Macaca mulatta: one gene and its partners. The protein of the gene in region 2 interacts with the protein of the main gene of each other region in a pairwise test. Links are inferred from orthologs where the notes say so. Each region holds a gene or a part of one and is shown on either strand. Other genes may lie near its edges.

Region 1 (5,680 bases), on a different chromosome or scaffold from region 2:
GACTGCATTAAATACATACACATATATAAAGAGATTGGTTAAATATTATTGTATCTAAACACAATAGGATATTATATATACATTTCAAATGATGCAGAAATGTTTTCCACATAGAAAGATTTTTCATAACCTAGTCAATAAAAAGTTATAAAATAGTTTATAAAGAAGACAGGTTTTCTCTTTCTTCTCTCTAGTTCTCTCTCTCTCACATACAATTTTTTTTTTTTTTTTCTGGAGACGGAGTCTCACTCTGTCACCCAGGCCAGAGTGCTGTGGTACCATCTCAGCTCACTGCAACCTCCCTCCCGGGTTCAAGCAATTCTCCTGCCTCAGTCTCCTGAGTAGCTGGGACTACAGGCGCCTGCTACCACGTCCAGCTTAATTTTCATATTTTTTTTGTAGAGACAGGGTTTCACCATATTGGCCAGGCCGGTCTCAAACTCCTGATCTTGTCATCTGCCCACCTCAGCCTCCCAAAGTGTTGGGATTACAGTTATGAGCCACCGCGCCTGGCTGATACACTATTTTTAAAACTCTGTTCATAAGTTTGATAAACAGGAGCTGGTGAAAACCACTGCAGTATTTGATGATTATGGCATGTCTCTTACTTTGTGTTTAAGACGTCGGAAAAGGGCCCGGCACGGTGGCTCACGCCTGTAATCCCAGCACTTTGGGAGGCCGAGGCGGGAGGTTCACCTGAGGTCAGGAGTTTGAGAACAGCCTGGCCAACATGGCAAAACCCTGTCTCTACTAAAACTACAAAAATTAGCTGGGTGTGGTGGTGAGTACCTGTAATCCCAGCTATTCGAGAGGCTGAGGCAGGAGTATCACTTGAATCCGTGAGGCAGAGGTTGCAGTGAGCCAAGATCGTGCCACTGCACTCCAGCCTGGGTGACAAGAGCAAAACTCCATCTCAGAAAACAAACAAAACAAAACAGATGTGGGAAAAGAAAGAAAAAACATTTTTTCCTACTGTCGGTTAATTAATTTTATTTTATTCATTTGTTTTTGAGATGGAGTCTTGCCCTGTCACCCATCCTGGAGTGTAGTGGCACAATCTCAGTTCACTAAAACCTTCACTTCCCAGGCTCAAGCAATTCTCCTGCCTCAGCTTCTTGAGTAGCTGGGATTACAGGTGTCCGCCACCACGCCCAGCTAATTTTTCTATTTTTTTTTGTAGAGATGGGGTTTCACCATGTTGGCCAGGCTGGTCTCAAACTCCTGGCCTCAAGTGATCTGCCCACTCCGGTTTCCAAAGTGCTGGGATTACAGGAGTGAGCCACCGCACCCAGCTTGCCAATTAATTTACTTTTGCTTCGGAGTTACACAGGTCATCATCAGCCCCAGTGTCCCTGGTCTCTCATGAATGGTGACCACACAAATTCATATCATCTGGCCGTTTCTTCAGCCTATCCTTGGCATGTTCTGGCATTGGCCTATCTCAACAAGCCATCTACTTAATATTCAAATCAAAATGAAAACAGCTCAGAGACGGTATACTGCTCGGTACCAGTCAGTGTGGACATCCCAAGGGTCTGCTAAGCACCCACATTTCTCAAAGTTAATGTTACCAAGTTTTAAATTATACAAAACATGCCTGCCATGAAGCAATGAAGTTCCCAGCAAAACTCACACAATAACTCAGAACTTAAAAGTGAATCCTAGGCCGGGCACGGTGACTCACGCCTGTAATCCCAGCACTTTGGGAGGCTGAGGCAGGTGGATCGTGAGGTCAGGAGTTCAAGACCAGCCTGGCCAAGATGGTGAAACCCCCATCTCTACTAAAACTGCAAAAATTAGCTGGGAGTGGTGGCAGGCTCCTGTAATCCCAGCTACTCTGGAGGCTGAGGCAGGAGAATCGCTTGAACCCCAGCAGCAGAGGTTGCTGTGAGCTGAGATCAGGCAACTGCACTCCAGCCTGAGCGACAGAGGGAGACTCCATCTCAAAAAAAAAAAAAAAAAAAAAAAAAAAAGTGAACCCATGCACATGTATCTTACTTTCAGTCTGAAAATGTATCTAACCTTGCATCACAAAGTAATAACCCCCAGATTGCTGGTCTGTAGTACAACAACAGTAAACACTGAAAACACTTAAATATTTCCATCTGGAAACAGTAAATTAAACCTTCTACTTACCTGTGGTGACAGCTTCTCAGTTCTGAGCTTGTCTTGCCACAAACTGTGAGTCCACAGAGCAGACGGGGCCCTGAGCTTCAGCCTGGCAGTAAGAAGGTGAAGGAGGAAGTGATTACGCTATGTTCTCTGAATGCCCCCCAACTCTTCACCTTGGAAGAGGAAAGTCATCCCGACCCTGCCCAGCAACGACAGGGGGTGTCACAGGGTCCTTCTCAGTAAAACCCCGTGTCCTTGCCCTGACCCAGTTCCTCAAGCCACCCTTATCCCAAGGAGGCTGGGAGAGGAGGGGCCTCCCTGGTTTCCTGGCAGGGGTCGGCGGGGGCGGCGGGGGCTGACGTGGTCGTGCAGCCCCGGAGGTCCCACGAAGCCCAGGGCGTTGGACAACTGTGGGTTTTTCTTGGAAGGAATCCTGACACTTGGAGCACACTTCCTCTCTTTTAACTTTTAAGAAAGGCTTCAGAAAAGCACAGGCGTGCAGTTGTGCCCTGTTAGTTGGGGTGAGTGAGGGGACAGAGCCGACCCTCCGGACTTCCACTAGCACCACCCCGCGCCCCTCCGGCTTCACCCGCACCACGCGGGCCGCGCAGCGCGGGACTCCGGAAAGACCTGGGCGCCCGACCCGCAGCCCGACCCGCAGCGGCCCCGACCGGCAGCGACGTGGCGCGGCTTCCGCAGAGAAGCCACCCGGCCCAGCACAGCCTGTCTGGGGTCGCCCCGCCGCGTTGGGGCACAAAGTGGGAACCGTTCCTCAAAGGTGGCCGCAGCTGGAAGAACAAACACGCGCGTCTCCGTCCGACGGCAGCAGCCGGGCGCACCCACCCAGGGTCGGTCTGTCCGGGGCCCGGGTTTCCTCGCCTCGGGGATCCCTGGAGGTCTCGGAAAGCACCCTCTGAGTCGGGGACGCCCCAGCTCCACCGCGCCGAGGGAAGGGCAAGCCCCGATGTCCCTGCCCGTGGGCCCTCCCTCCCAGGGGACAACCCGAAGACCCAGAGTCGCTGCGGTCCCCAGACCCGACCTCCGCGCAGCGCCAAGCCCCAGGGACAGCCGCGGACTCTGGGGTTCCGGGCAGGCCCCCAGCGCTAGGAGGGAGGCCGAGCTGGGCCCCGGGATCCCTTGCACGAGTCCTCGGTGTGTGTCCTCGCTCCTAGCCCTCAGGTCTCCAGCCGCGCACCCCGGGCCCTCAGGTCCCCGGGACCCCGAGACCCCTGGCCCCGCGCATGCGCCGCCCACCCTCTGCCCTTCCCCCGTCCGCCGCCCTCCGGGTCCCGGGACCGGGAACGCACGGCCCGCGGACCCCTGCGCGCGTGCCCGCCCGCCCGCCCCCGGGCACCTGGGCCGCGGTCCGCCGCCTGCCGGTCCGTGGGGCGAACGCCCAAGGAGGCGGCGCCGGGCAGGGCGCTAGCGGCCGCCTCCGCCCCCGCCGCCCGCTGCCCCCGCCGCGGGGCCGCCGCGTCCACGGCCCATGCTCGGCGCCGCCTCCGCGCGTCCGTGCCAGCCGCGCCCCCGCGACACGCACCGCCCCTTGGCCCGCCCCCCGCCCCGGTCCGCTCGGGCGAGTGTCCCGAGGCCCGACCCGGAAGCCCCGCCCGCCCAGCGCGCCCTCCGGGCCCCAGGCCGCGGCCCCGGGACACACCCCCCGGACGGCGGCGCCCGATTGGCTGATCGAGGTGGGCGGGGCCCCGGGAGCGCTCAGCGGCTCCCACCTAGCGCCTCGCGGTCGCTGCAGCCAAGGGAAACTGAGGCCGGAGAGGTGGAGGGGCTGTCCAAGGTGACCGACGGGACACCGCTGAGCGTCGGCGCCCCTCCAGCCCGAGGCACCAGGGTGGGGCTGAATTCTAGGCGTGGACACGCCGCGGGGCGGGTGGAGGTTCTCGCCGGTCGCCAGTGCCACGCTGGCGAGCCCCTCCTGCCTTCTCGATGAGCCCGGCTGTGCCGCTCTGTGCGATAAGCCGGTCTAGACCCGGGACCCGGGACCGGGTGCTCTTGAGTCTCAGAAGTGCGTGGGGTGGGAGGCGGCCCGGGAAGGACCTTGTCCCTGGAACCCCAGGATGCAAAATAAGGAGAAGGGGAAGGCGAGCTGGGAGGACAAGGAAACAGGTGGCGAGAGGTGCCAGGGCGGTGTGGCGGGCGGGGGAACGAGGAGGGTGAAGGGCAACGCGGACGGGCTCGGGGAGGCGCCGCCAACTCCGACCCCACAACCCCACCCCTCTCCAGCAACCCGAGACCCATGCCCGCCCCCTACTCCATGCGCTGGGGGGTGAGGGACTGACTTTGTGCCCACGTAAGGCACTGGGACTCTGCCAGCGCAGGGGGAGGTCGCGGCCTGGCGGCCAATGGCGAGGAGTAGGAGAGCGCCCTGCAAAGCCGCTTTGTTCGCGCCGTGACGCCCGAGCTCCCCGCGCGGAATGCACAAACCCCCTTGGTGCCGGCACATCAGGGCGCCCATCCTTGGGAACGCAATGTGTGCTATGCCCGCCCCACTGCCTGCCCTCCACTGCCAGCTGCGCCTGCCACTGTGCTATTTGTGGCAGCCGGCGCCCAGGAGGACCCACTCCGGAAAGGAAACACAAATCTCATTAGGCAGGGGAACTGGAGACCAGGTGGGAACTGGCCCTTTCACAAACTTCTCTTAAACTCACCCTAGTTGATTAGCCAGGCACCTGTGGTGAACTTTGTCCCACCCTCCAGACACCCATATATCCTTCCCACTGGCACACCGCAGCCTCACCTTCTCTTGCACATGCTAGCCAGCAATAGCTAAGATCTATGTTATGTTTCAGAGTTTACAGGGTGATCCGCACACGTAATATCCTGGATATCTCGCGGGGGGTGCAGGCAGCCACATCCACGCTTGTCATCCTGCTGTGTTTGGTGAGGGAAGCTGACACTCCGCAGCCCACGCAGAGCTCAGGGGCTATATCCTCATGAGGACCTCTGGGCTCAAAGATATTACCTGGTGTCCCCATATCCCAGGCTCTCAAGGACCAGGGTCCACACAGGTGTGTTGGCTTCTTTTCCCAGATGCACCACCCAGGTCAACCAGGTGTTGAAAGACCTGGTGAACCTTCTCATGAACAAGGACAAAGGCTGTGTGGGGGTCTGTAGAGTGGTCATTTACACTCAGCAGACACAGAAAACTGATATTCTTGGGTTTTTGGGGCTCCCAAGGTTTTAGGGAGAGAAAACTTGTTTTTCATCCATGTGTCCCAGAAATAAGCATTTTCAATCAAATGCTGTCAGCCAGTCTCCCGCAGGCGTCCCGAGGGTAGAAGCAAGTTCAGGACTCTTCTCTTGGGCCAGAAACAGCCCCGCATCCACTGCCTCCCAGGGGTGGTAGGTTTCTTTTGGGAAACCACGCTCAGATGAGAGAGATGAAGCAATTTTCTGTTGGCCTCGAAGACCTTGTCACACACCCAGCATGGGAGCAACTGTCACAAAGGGCACACCGCCACCCCCACTCCCAGCTCCAGAAAGTCTCTCTTTACCTTCTTCAGTGCTGATGAAATGAGGAACAGAAACACCGCTGGCGCAGGGACTGAGTAGA
Region 2 (5,535 bases):
AATAGGTTCTTCTTTTTCACCCATGCTCTTCACAGAGTTCAGCCTCTGCTCCAAATAAATGTTGAGCAAATTTGTCAATGAATATACTTTTAAGGGTTGCCAAATTATGAACATGCCCAGGGTGCCTGCAGCCTTTAGGTCTTGCCCCAAGTCTGGTATGACTCTGTAGTAAGGATGAGGACAATCTAGAATCCTTGTTCTTGCTTAGAAATGATTTTGCACATGAAGAGCACAGATTCTGAAGCTAGCAACTGAAGATTCCAGTCTTGGCGCTACCTCTTGCTAACCGTATGTAGTTGCAACTAAATCTTATCTCCCTCTGCTGTAAAATGGGGATATTGCCTCTGCATCCAAATGGATATAAAAATGTTAGGTTGAGGGAGAATTATGGGAAATAGAAAGTTTCTGTTTCAGAATTTGGCTTCCAAAGCTAGAGATGGCATGAAACCATCTCTAGGCTTGCCCATTCCCTCATGTTCCATAAAGGGCACTTACAGAGATCTTTGATACAAGCGTACTGCTGGTTGCTGTAGAGTGGGGAACTATAGGCCCGACGGAAACCAGGCGGCTGTAGGATGGGATGGGAGGAAGCATTAGAGGTAGCAAAGTAAGGTCCAGAAGCCCATCTCTCCCATGAGTGCTCACCCTTTCTCAGAAAAAGAGATGGGCTGAGAAAGAAAAAGCAGAGAAATGAATGGGATGGAGGAGGGACCAGCAAGGGGTAGCTGGTGACATGTCTCCTCCTTTCTTTTTTTTTCGCTCTGTCACCCAGGCTGGAGTGCAGTGGTGCAATCTCAGCTCACTGCAAGCTCCGCCTCCCGGGTTCACGCCATTCTCCTGCCTCAGCCTCCCGAGTAGCTGGGACTACAGGTGCCCGCCACCACGTCCGGCTAATTTTTTGTATTTTTTAGTAGAGACAGGGTTTCACTGTGTTAACCAGGATGGTCTCCATCTCCTGACCTCGTGATCCGCCTGCCTCGGCCTCCCAAAGTGCTGGGATTACAGGTGTGAGCCACTGTGCCCGTCCATGTCACCTCTTTTCTACACCTTGTTCCCCAGAGCCTACTCACGATCTTGCCGAAGCATCTCTGCATTTCCACATAGGACTGACAGTGTTCATGGATGTTGGTTTTGCAGTTCTTACAGCGAAGCCCAAACTTGTTGTTGACTTGGGAGAGGGGGAGAAAATTCAGATAAGATTCCAGATTGCCCTTTCCCTTTGTACCACTGCTGCTACTCTTAGGTTCCCTTTTCTGTCTGGGACCTTACTTGCTCAATCTCTAACAGCATTGCCTTACACCAACTCTAGCCACAGCCCATCTGCTACAAATACTCCTCTTGTATGCCCTCTCCCCAACCTCTGCCTTCAACATCATACTCTCTTCACTCCCCTTTATGACTCACGAACAATCATCCGGGCACAGACATCACAGAACTTTGGCTTCTTGAAGAAATGATCTTTGAATTTGTGGGGCTTATCGTTGACCAGCTTAGGAGGTTCTGGGAGTGGCTCCTCCTCCTCCTCTTCTTCTTCTTCCTCTTCCTCATAAATGTAGTAGATGGGCCCACCCCCAGCTCCCACTGCCTCCCCATTGGCCTGGGGCTCTGGGGGAAGTTCCATTTCCTTTGTCCCTGTAGAACCCTTCCTGAGTAACTGCTTCAGCCGCTGTAGCTGAGGGAGGGAGTGAAGAAAACCCAACGTTAAAAGGACTTGTCACCCTCTCTAGAGTAGGGGGGTGTTAGAGCAAACAGACAGTTTTCTAGTTTTGGGCAAGGAATGTACCCCAGGATTAGGCAGGTATTGGTATTGGGGACTGCAGGTGCTGGCCAGCAAAACATGAGTCACACACAAATGAGATCAATTTAAGCACTCTTCTTCAGCTGTAAAGGTTTCCTGGCCCCCCACACCCAGTGGTCACAGGCCCAGACTCACCCCGCTTTGCCGAGTCTCTGCTGGGAAAGAGGGCTTAGGGGACTCCAGCACCTCCTTTTCTGTCATCCTGCAAGAGGTTGGACCCCACTATGAAATCTAATCCCTTTCACTCTTCTCCCCCTTATTTCTGTCCCTTGCAGTAGGGCGGTACTCAAAGGGAAGGTTTTTGGAGAAACGTGATTAGAGATTTTGTTGTTGTTGAGATGGGGTTTCACTCTGTCACCCAGGTTGGAGTGCAGTGGCATGATCATGGCTCACTGCAGCCTTGACCTCCCAGCCTGAAGCAATCCCCCTACCTCAGCTTCCTGAGTAGCTGGAACACAAGGTGCACACTACCTGGCTACCTTTTTATTTTTTGTAGAGACATGGTCTTGCTTTGTTGCCTAGGCTTACCCGAACTAGCTCAAGCAATCCTCCCGTTTCAACCCCCAAAGTGTTGAGATTCCAGGCGTGAGCCACTGCACTGGGCCAAATACAGATCATTTGGCAGGTTTTATTAACAGATTTCATGGAAGTCTAGGAAAAAGCCCAACATGACCAGGCGCGGTGGTGCATGCCTGTAATCCCAGCACTTTGGGAGGCTGAGGCGGGCAGATCACTAGAGATCAGGAGTTCAAGACTAGCCTGGCCAACATGGTGAAACCCCATCTCTACTAAATATACAAAAATTAGCCGGGCGTGATGGTGGACACCAGTAATTCCATCTACTCAGGAAGCTAAGGAAGGAGAATCGCTTGAACCCAGGAGGTTGCAGTGAGCCAGAATTGTGCCACTGCCCTCCAGCCTGGGTGACAGAGCAAGACTCCATCTCAAAAAAAATAAAAAATAATAAATAAATAAATAAATCCCAACAGACTAAAGAGCTCCCCAATTAGTTCCTCAAACTGATACTCATCCTTCCATCCTGAGGGGAGACCCCATAGTTTACAGCCCTTACAGTGTTCAAGGCTGCATGGTTTATGTTATTTTCCTATAGGTACTTTGTTTCTCTTGGGAATCTGTGGGCAACAGAGATGTGATGCATACCTTCCCAGATCTCCTCTCTTCAAGAGGTTTAATGTGTGTCCTCGTGTGCGCACAAGGAAGGATGGACTGCAGACATTTGTCCTCCCCTACTTCTTTCTTGAGCCCTGGGGGCCCTGTGCCTAGTTCTGTCCCAGCCTGCCTCAGGGCTCAGCTATTTTAAGTTTTCAGGGTAATATGAGCCTTTCCTTCCCTTACTACTTCATTCCCTTTACCCCACCCCCACCCCCCCTCCAATCCTAACTCATCCTAGAGTAGAATAATAATTTTACTCCTAAAACCCAAACGACTCACAGACAAGGAAAGAAATGAAGAAGCTGAATAGATTATAGATCAGGGCAGCTGGCGTGAGCAGTCGTGGAAATCGAGAGGATGAAGAGGTAACTTACGTTTGGGATTCCCTAAATCAGTCCACAGTCTGTAGAGGGAGCTGGGAGCCCCGAGGCCTTGATGGTGGTGCTGGGGAAAAACTGGTCCTCTTCCTTGGGGGCTAAGCCCCCCCAGTACCCTGTGTTCACACCAGCTACCCAGTCGCTATTTGTAGACCTCCTAACCTCCTGCCTTGGTGTCAGGGCTGAAATGACAGGGCTGGAGGAAAGTGAACAGCTGAGAAACACAGCTGACACAGAGAAATTGGACACTGAGAGGTCTGGGGCAGGGCTGGACCCTAACTCCTCCCATCCCTCCAGAGCTGCTGTTCCTTGATTCTTCATCTAAGGTGAACAGGTGAATAATGGCCAAATTCAGCAAGGGACAGTTTCTGTTCATGCTCATATAACATTTAAAGGGAGTTTATTTTTATTTTTCATTTATTTTTTGAGACAGGGTAAAAAAAAAAAAAAAAGACTAATTCGAACGCATAGAGCTCTCCTATCAGCCATACTAGATGGCTTTCTTTTTTTTTTTTTTTTTTGAGACAGAGTCTTGCTCTTGTCACCCAGGCTGGAGTGCAATGAAGTGATCCGGACTCACTGCAACCTCCCAGGTTCAAGCGATTCTCCTGCCTCAGCCTCCTAAGCAGCTGGGATTACAGGCGCCCACCACCATGCCCAGGTAATGTTTGTATTTTTAGTAGAGACGGGGTTTCACCATGTTGGCCAGGTTGGTCTCAAACCCCTGACCTCAGGTGATCTGCCTGCCTCGGCCTTCCAAAGTGCTAGGATTACAGGCGTGGGTCACCGTGCATGGTTAGATTGCTTTTTATCTGTGGGTGGTTGGAGAAGTACTTTGCTATCCTGTAAGAAAGTGAAGAATATGTAGTATTGCTTCATTCCCTCCATCAGCTCCCAGAGACATCTCCCCACCCTCCTTCTTGCAAAATTTTGTCCTCAGGGTGAATGGAATTACCAGGGCTATTAAAAAGGGCCAGTTAACACTAGACAGAAGGATATAGCTGCCACATAAGGAATCTTTTTAATAATTTCTAAGTAATGTCCCCTTCCTCATGAGAACTGCAAACTCTTAAAGGTAGGATGGCCAACCTCACACTTCCTAAACCCTTTTGATTCCCTGATTCCATCTCCCACCTTTGATGCCTCAGTATGTAACTGATGGATCAAAGAGACAGATGCCATTCTGATCTCACAGGGGTTTACCCTTCTCCTACTCTTTGGGCTGTGACATAGATGAAAGAGGAGATACTCCCATCTCAGGGGAGAGCAATTTAGAGGTGGCAATGCAGTGCTGCTTTATTCCTTGTATCTGTAAGAAATAAAGGACTGTGTTGGAGACTGAGTCAGGCAAGCTCCTGTAGGACCATGGTTAGGGATACAGCTACTTGGACCCAAGAGATTTCCAGGGCAACATGCTTTGTCATTCTCACCCACTACTTTTTTTTTTTTTTCTATTTAAGGGTGAAGTTTGAAAAGGTGGTGCAGGATGGTTCTGACTCTGCAGGTTCTTTAATGGCCCTGCTCTGACAGACTGCAGAACAACAGGGCTTGCTTTGAGATGCTCTAAAGGAAAAGCTGCACCTTGCAGGCAAGATGACTTCTGCTCTTCCCCTTTTTTCAGCCACATAGGACAGGGACTGCTGAGCATGTTTGGATAATATAGCATCTTGGCACTGTGAATTCAGTTGCTGTAGCTTTTATTGTAATAAACATCTGCTTCTGTCCCTGACAGGTAAAACCCAATCCTCCAGCTTTAGGATTAAAGAAAGGCGGCCAGGCGCAGTGGCTCACGCCTGTAATCCCAGTACTTTGAGAGGCCGAGGTGGGTGGATCACAAGGTCAGGAGTTTGAGACCAGCCTGGCCAACATGGTGAAACCCTGTCTCAACTAAATATGCAAAAATTAGCTGGGCACAGTGGTACATGCCTGTAGTCCCAGTTACTTGGGAGGCTGAGGCAGAAGAATTGCTTGAACCTGGGAGGTGAAGGTTGCAGTGAGCCGAGATCATGCCACTGCACTCCAGCGTGGGCGACAGGGCGAGACTCAGTCTCAAAAAAAACAAAAACAAAAACAAAAACAAAAACAACCCTAAAGGGTTTTCAGAAGATGAGTTGGGCTGGGAGCAGTGGCTCATGCCTGTAATCACAGCACTTTGGGAGGCCAAGGCGGGGCATCACTTGAGCCCAG
Region 3 (5,583 bases), on a different chromosome or scaffold from region 2:
GTAGCCCAGAACTCAAAACAACAAAAATGCCCATCAACAAATCATAGTATTGCCAAGTAATGAATAATTACTCGGCAGTAAACAGGAAAAGTAAACTCCTGATACACACAACCACATGGGTAAATTTCAAAATAATTCTGCAAAGACAGGCAAAAAGAGGAACATACTACATTATTCCACTTATATAAAATTTTAGAAAATGCAAATTCATCTATAGGAACAGAAAACAGATAAGCTATTGTCTAGGGACAAGAGGAGGGATTCAAAGGCATATGAGGAAACTTTCAGGGATGATACAATTTTCATTATTTTGTCTGTGGTGATACTTTCACAGATAGACACATTTGTTGTGTGCCTATTATACATCAATAAAATGGTTTTTAAAAAAGAATTAACTTGTATATTCAGATAAAACTTGTCCAAGAAGAACAGGAGGAAGAGTCATTCAAAAATAAATGAACTTGCAATGCTTCGCTTCTTAGATACCTACAAAAAAAGATAATGCTGCTACACGTGTCATTATACACTTTGTGTGTTTGTGTGGCAGGAGTGGGTGGTGGAAGGGATTGTGTGTATATTCATATTAAGGGAGGTATCAACAGATGTTAATGTACTATGTTCAGTCTGAGTATACTATCAGATTCTGTGTTATGTATCATCTCATGTAGAAGCATTAACATTTAGCCGCCGTCCCACAAAAAAATCATCTAGTAATTGAACAAAGAACATATCACTATGCAAATAATTTATATATAACCTTATTAAGAAAAATAAGCATATGATATGATAAAACTAATATGTACATTTCACAGTAGAACAAATAGGATATAATGCAGCAATTAAATTGATTATGAAGAAAAAGCTTATTTTATTTTAGATACCTACTACATAAAATTAAATAAACTAATCAACCAAAAAAAAGCTACAAAAATAAAAGTGTGTTACAAGATACTTATGGATACACAATTAAAGTAGAGAATTGTGATTAGAAAAAATCATCTACTTTCAACATTTTCATTGCCTATATCTAGGAAAAAATAATTCCAAATTGAAAATCACAATTGTTGATTAATACATTATTTTTATATGATGCTTTTGTAAGCTTTTTTCTATTTTTCATCTCCATGTTCCATTCCAAACTTTTCCAGGATCAGTGTGAGTGGTTAAGTAGTTATCCGTAATCCTTGAAAAGCATCCAAAAAAACCCCCAAGCATCCCCCCAAAAAAAAAACCCAACCAATTTTAATATGAAATTTAGTCACATTTGCCCAATATCATGCATTATTTCCTGAAGAAATCATAGTTGTCTTAAGTAAGTCAAGGCCAAAATCATTTTACCTTTAGGATTTCACCATTGATTAACTTCTTGCTTAATTCAGTAGAAAACAAAAAATATGAATAGACAGTTCTCAAATAAACATAAACATATGAAAACACAATCTTACCACTAATCTAAGAAATACAAATACTAATATTGATAAATTAATTTGGAGATGTTGATTACAAATGTAAATGTAAGTAGTGATTACTTCTCAGTTTTATTTTGAGTTACTTTTAATTTCTTCTTTGTATTTCAATGTATTGTCTGACTTTATCAATGAACACATATCATTTTCACAAAATGTAAAGTTATCTTAACACCGACTCATTAGTTGTTTGCAACTAATGGATCAGAAAAGAATTTAGAAACAGACCCAAGCAATTTATTTAATGTGATCAAAGTAGCATTTCAAGTAAGCAGGAGATAGAAAGATTACCAAATAAATGGTACTAGAAGAATTAGCTAGCTAATAAAAATAAGTATTTTAAAAATCTGGATCCCTACCTCATGACTCACTCTAAAATACTAATTCCTGATGCTACAAAGTTTAAAACATAAGAGCATACTTTTTGTAAAATCTCCATAATTTAAAAAGAAATAGTGAGTCTCAGAACAATATTTATGGTATAACACCATTGATGTAAATCATTGTTTCTATAACATATGCTTTGATTAAAATTATTCAGCGAAAGGATATGCACTTAGTAAGTTTCATTCACCATTATACTACAATTCTCTACCACATTTGCCCAGCATACGACAGGCACAAAAATATATTAGCTGAATGACAAAAAAAATGAACCTTTATGCACTGTTGGAACTGTAAATTGTGATAATCATTCTGCAGAGAGTTTGGCAATATGTATACAATAATAATTCCATAATATGAAATGATCATTCCCAGGCCATTCATTTCTAGGAATTTATCTTATGACCAATTTTCAGAAGTGCATAGAAATATATGCTTTAGGTATCCAGGGACACTTTTATTATAGCAGGAAAATAATATGTATATAAGGGGAGAGATGGTATAGAAATAGCCACCCTATAAGAGGAATCTGTTCAAATAAATTAAGGCAATTATTTCCATGGAATATGCACTTATTTAAAAATAAGATGTTGATCATTTGCCATGAAAATATAGCCATTAGTAACTGATAAATTAAATGAAAAGACTACAAAACATAATATGGTATCACATAGATAAAGCAGTATACATAAATAGGCAGGTATGTATATGCACAAGGAAATTTCTAGAAGGAAGTGCATCAAAATGCTAGTAATTCTTATCATTTGGTGGTTAAGATTGTGTGTTTTTACTACTGTTGGAATTTTCTGTATTGAGGTTTTATCTTTGCAATGTTCACAGACTTTGACAATTAGAGATATACAATAAAAGTAAATGCATTTATGAGACAGAAAAGCATTTCATAACTTTTAAAAACGTGACTACATGACAAAGCACAAATTCTATAAAGATTAATCTAACTTTAATACAGTTCCTCATTTGAAATGAATAATTTATCATATTTCATATTTTAATTTACAACTTGTATTCTATGACCAGGTTAAGATAGTTAATGTGGTTAAGTAGGCTATTGTCTACATTAGTATGCCAAATTACCTCTGTGGATTTTCCTGTTTCCATAGAATTATCAAGATTATTATCTAAAATAAATCTCTAAATGACTGCATCCTGTAAACTTTTATTCAGATGGAGATGAGTAATTTTTGTCATTCTTTAAAATGTGCTAAATATGATCCTTACCTTTCAATGAAAAGTAAATACTCGTCTTTTTTATTGTACCAAGGTAGTTGTTCTGTAGCAGAAAAAAAAAATCCTGTAAATAAAAATAACAAATACCCGTTTTTAAACTTCATTTTGCAAAAGTTTATTCACATATTACTGGACTTGTAAATCATACTATAGTATGGCTAGAATTTTACAACATTAGAAGGAAATTGGTGGCAGATGACATCGCATACACTGACAGAAGATGCACATTCATTAGCACAAATTCCCCCTCCCATCCCACTGTTCTTGGAATTGAAACCTGCTGCACAAAAGTATAACGCAAATCATTTGCTTTTTAACAATACTACCTAACATTTAATACACTCATTGTTTTATCTACAAGGTTGTTGCAAGCATTGAGAAGGGCTACGTGGCAAGTTAGCAGCAAGGTTGGGGTATATAATATGCCAGCCTAAAAAGAGAAATATAATAAAAATGGTGTAACTGACTCACGGCAACATGGGTTCGCAAACCTTGTAGATGGATATAAACCAGGCTTGCCAAACATCACAGACAGCACTTATTAAATCAGCTTCGTGGAATGCAATACGCCTGCTGTCTAGTCCCTCCCCCCTCTGCCAATAACCGACTCTCCCCTTTTTTATCCAGTGTAAAAATACTGCTCATAGAATATTTAGAGAAAATCGTTTTGTTTTTAAATCGTCCACAGTCACACTACCCAATGACGCCATTTGGACCATTTTCATTCAATTTTTTTTTTTTTTTTCTTTTACAGATTTTTGTCAAGAGACCCGTGACAAACTAAACGGGAATTCAGGATGGGCGGATGGGAGAAGGAAGACACGCCTCTTCTGCCCTTGTTAGGAACTATGGCTGGTATTTTTACCTCATGTCTACGCTTTTTTTTCCTCTTTTAATTATAAAACTATAAATATAGACTTTTTGGGGGGCTCGGGGACACCTTCCAGGGGGTCGCACCTCAGCCGGCGAGCAGCGTCTGGGAAGGTGGGCGGAGCCAGGAGTAGTGGCGTTTGGCCGTTCGTTGGGCGTACGGTTTGTCAATTAAGGTGGACCAGCAAATGAGGAGCGAACTAAAGGCACACTGGGAACGAAATTAACGGGAGGTCTGACTGCGAGGGGAGGGGGCTCGCGATCTAAAACGAGAAGAGATCTCGGGGTCTCATACTGCGCCATTCGGCTGCGGTACATCTCGGCACTGTGTAGCTGCAGCCGGGAGAGGCCTTGCCGCCACCGCTGTCGCCCAGGCCTCCACTGCCGCTGCCACCTCAGCGCCGGCCTCTGCATCCCCAGCTCCAGCTCCGCTCTGCGCCGCTGCTGCCATCGCCGCTGCCACCTCCGCAGCCCGGGCCTCCGCCGCCGCCACTCAAGCATCCGTGAGTCATTTTCTGCCCATCTCTGGTCGCGCGGTCTCCGCGGTAGAGTTTTTCAGGCTTGCAAGATGGCAGAAGCAGATTTTAAAATGGTCTCGGAACCCGTCGCCCATGGGGTTGCCGAAGAGGAGATGGCTAGCTCGACTAGTGATTCTGGGGAAGAATCTGACAGCAGTAGCTCTAGCAGCAGCACTAGTGGCAGCAGCAGCGGCAGCAGCAGTAGTGGCAGCAGCAGCAGCAGCAGCGGCAGCGGCAGCAGCAGCAGCAGCGGCAGCACTAGCAGCCGCAGCCGCTTATATAGAAAGAAGAGGGTACCTGAGCCTTCCAGCAGGGCGCGGCGGGCCCCCTTGGGAACAAATTTCGTGGATAGGCTGCCTCAGGCAGTTAGAAATCGTGTGCAAGCGCTTAGAAACATTCAAGAAGAATGTGACAAGGTAGACACCCTGTTCTTAAAAGCAATTCATGATCTTGAAAGAAAATATGCTGAACTCAACAAGCCTCTATATGATAGGCGGTTTCAAATCATCAATGCAGAATACGAGCCTACAGAAGAAGAATGTGAATGGAATTCAGAGGATGAGGAGTTCAGCAGTGATGAGGAGGTGCAGGATAACACCCCTAGTGAAATGCCTCCCTTAGAGGGTGAGGAAGAAGAAACCCCTAAAGAAAACCCAGAGGTGAAAGCTGAAGAGAAGGAAGTTCCTAAAGAAATTCCTGAGGTAAAAGATGAAGAAAAGGAAGTTCCTAAAGAAATCCCTGAGATAAAGGCTGAAGAAAAAGCAGATTCTAAAGCAGACTGTATGGAGGCAACCCCTGAAGTAAAAGAAGATCCTAAAGAAGCCCCCCAGGTAAAGGCAGATGATAAAGAACAGCCTAAAGCAACAGAGGCTAAGGCAAGGCCTGCAGTAAGAGAGGCTCATAAAAGAGTTCCTGAGGAAAGGCTTCAGGACAGTGTAGATCTTAAAAGAGCTAGGAGGGGAAAGCCTAAAAGAGAAGACCCTAAAGGCATTCCTGACTATTGGCTGATTGTTTTAAAGAATGTTGACAAGCTCGGGCCTATGATTCAGAAGTATGATGAGCCCATTCTGAAGTTCTTGTCGGATGTTAGCCTGAAG

The links.
Region 1: the proteins of STAC3 (region 2) and PPARA interact in a two-hybrid assay, tested with the Homo sapiens proteins (2 studies listed by BioGRID). The two-hybrid records come from large-scale screens. The link is inferred for Macaca mulatta from reciprocal best matches to the Homo sapiens genes STAC3 and PPARA.
Region 3: the proteins of STAC3 (region 2) and FAM133A interact in binary tests that used the Homo sapiens proteins (3 or more experiments, as listed by UniProt). The two-hybrid records come from large-scale screens. The link is inferred for Macaca mulatta from reciprocal best matches to the Homo sapiens genes STAC3 and FAM133A.

The regions. Positions count from the first base shown.
Region 1 is NC_133415.1:5,335,812-5,341,491, forward strand, and holds the start of PPARA (peroxisome proliferator-activated receptor alpha), read right to left. Parts: upstream 3,599-5,680; 5' UTR 3,467-3,598; intron 3,443-3,466; exon of another isoform or gene 2,956-3,442; intron 2,239-2,955; exon of another isoform or gene 2,219-2,238; 5' UTR 2,137-2,218; intron 1-2,136. UniProt on the Homo sapiens protein: Ligand-activated transcription factor. Key regulator of lipid metabolism. Activated by the endogenous ligand 1-palmitoyl-2-oleoyl-sn-glycerol-3-phosphocholine (16:0/18:1-GPC). Activated by oleylethanolamide, a naturally occurring lipid that regulates satiety.
Region 2 is NC_133416.1:64,408,248-64,413,782, forward strand, and holds the start of STAC3 (SH3 and cysteine-rich domain-containing protein 3), read right to left. Parts: upstream 3,542-5,535; 5' UTR 3,346-3,541; intron 2,001-3,345; exon of another isoform or gene 2,000-2,000; coding exon of another isoform or gene 1,934-1,999; intron 1,673-1,933; coding exon of another isoform or gene 1,622-1,672; coding exon 1,405-1,621; intron 1,169-1,404; coding exon 1,071-1,168; intron 569-1,070; coding exon 496-568; intron 1-495. UniProt on the Homo sapiens protein: Required for normal excitation-contraction coupling in skeletal muscle and for normal muscle contraction in response to membrane depolarization. Required for normal Ca(2+) release from the sarcplasmic reticulum, which ultimately leads to muscle contraction.
Region 3 is NC_133426.1:99,943,880-99,949,462, reverse strand, and holds the start of FAM133A (protein FAM133A), read right to left. Parts: upstream 3,674-5,583; 5' UTR 3,570-3,673; intron 3,163-3,569; 5' UTR 3,090-3,162; intron 1-3,089. Other genes in the region: NAP1L3 (nucleosome assembly protein 1-like 3), read left to right, coding at 4,537-5,583.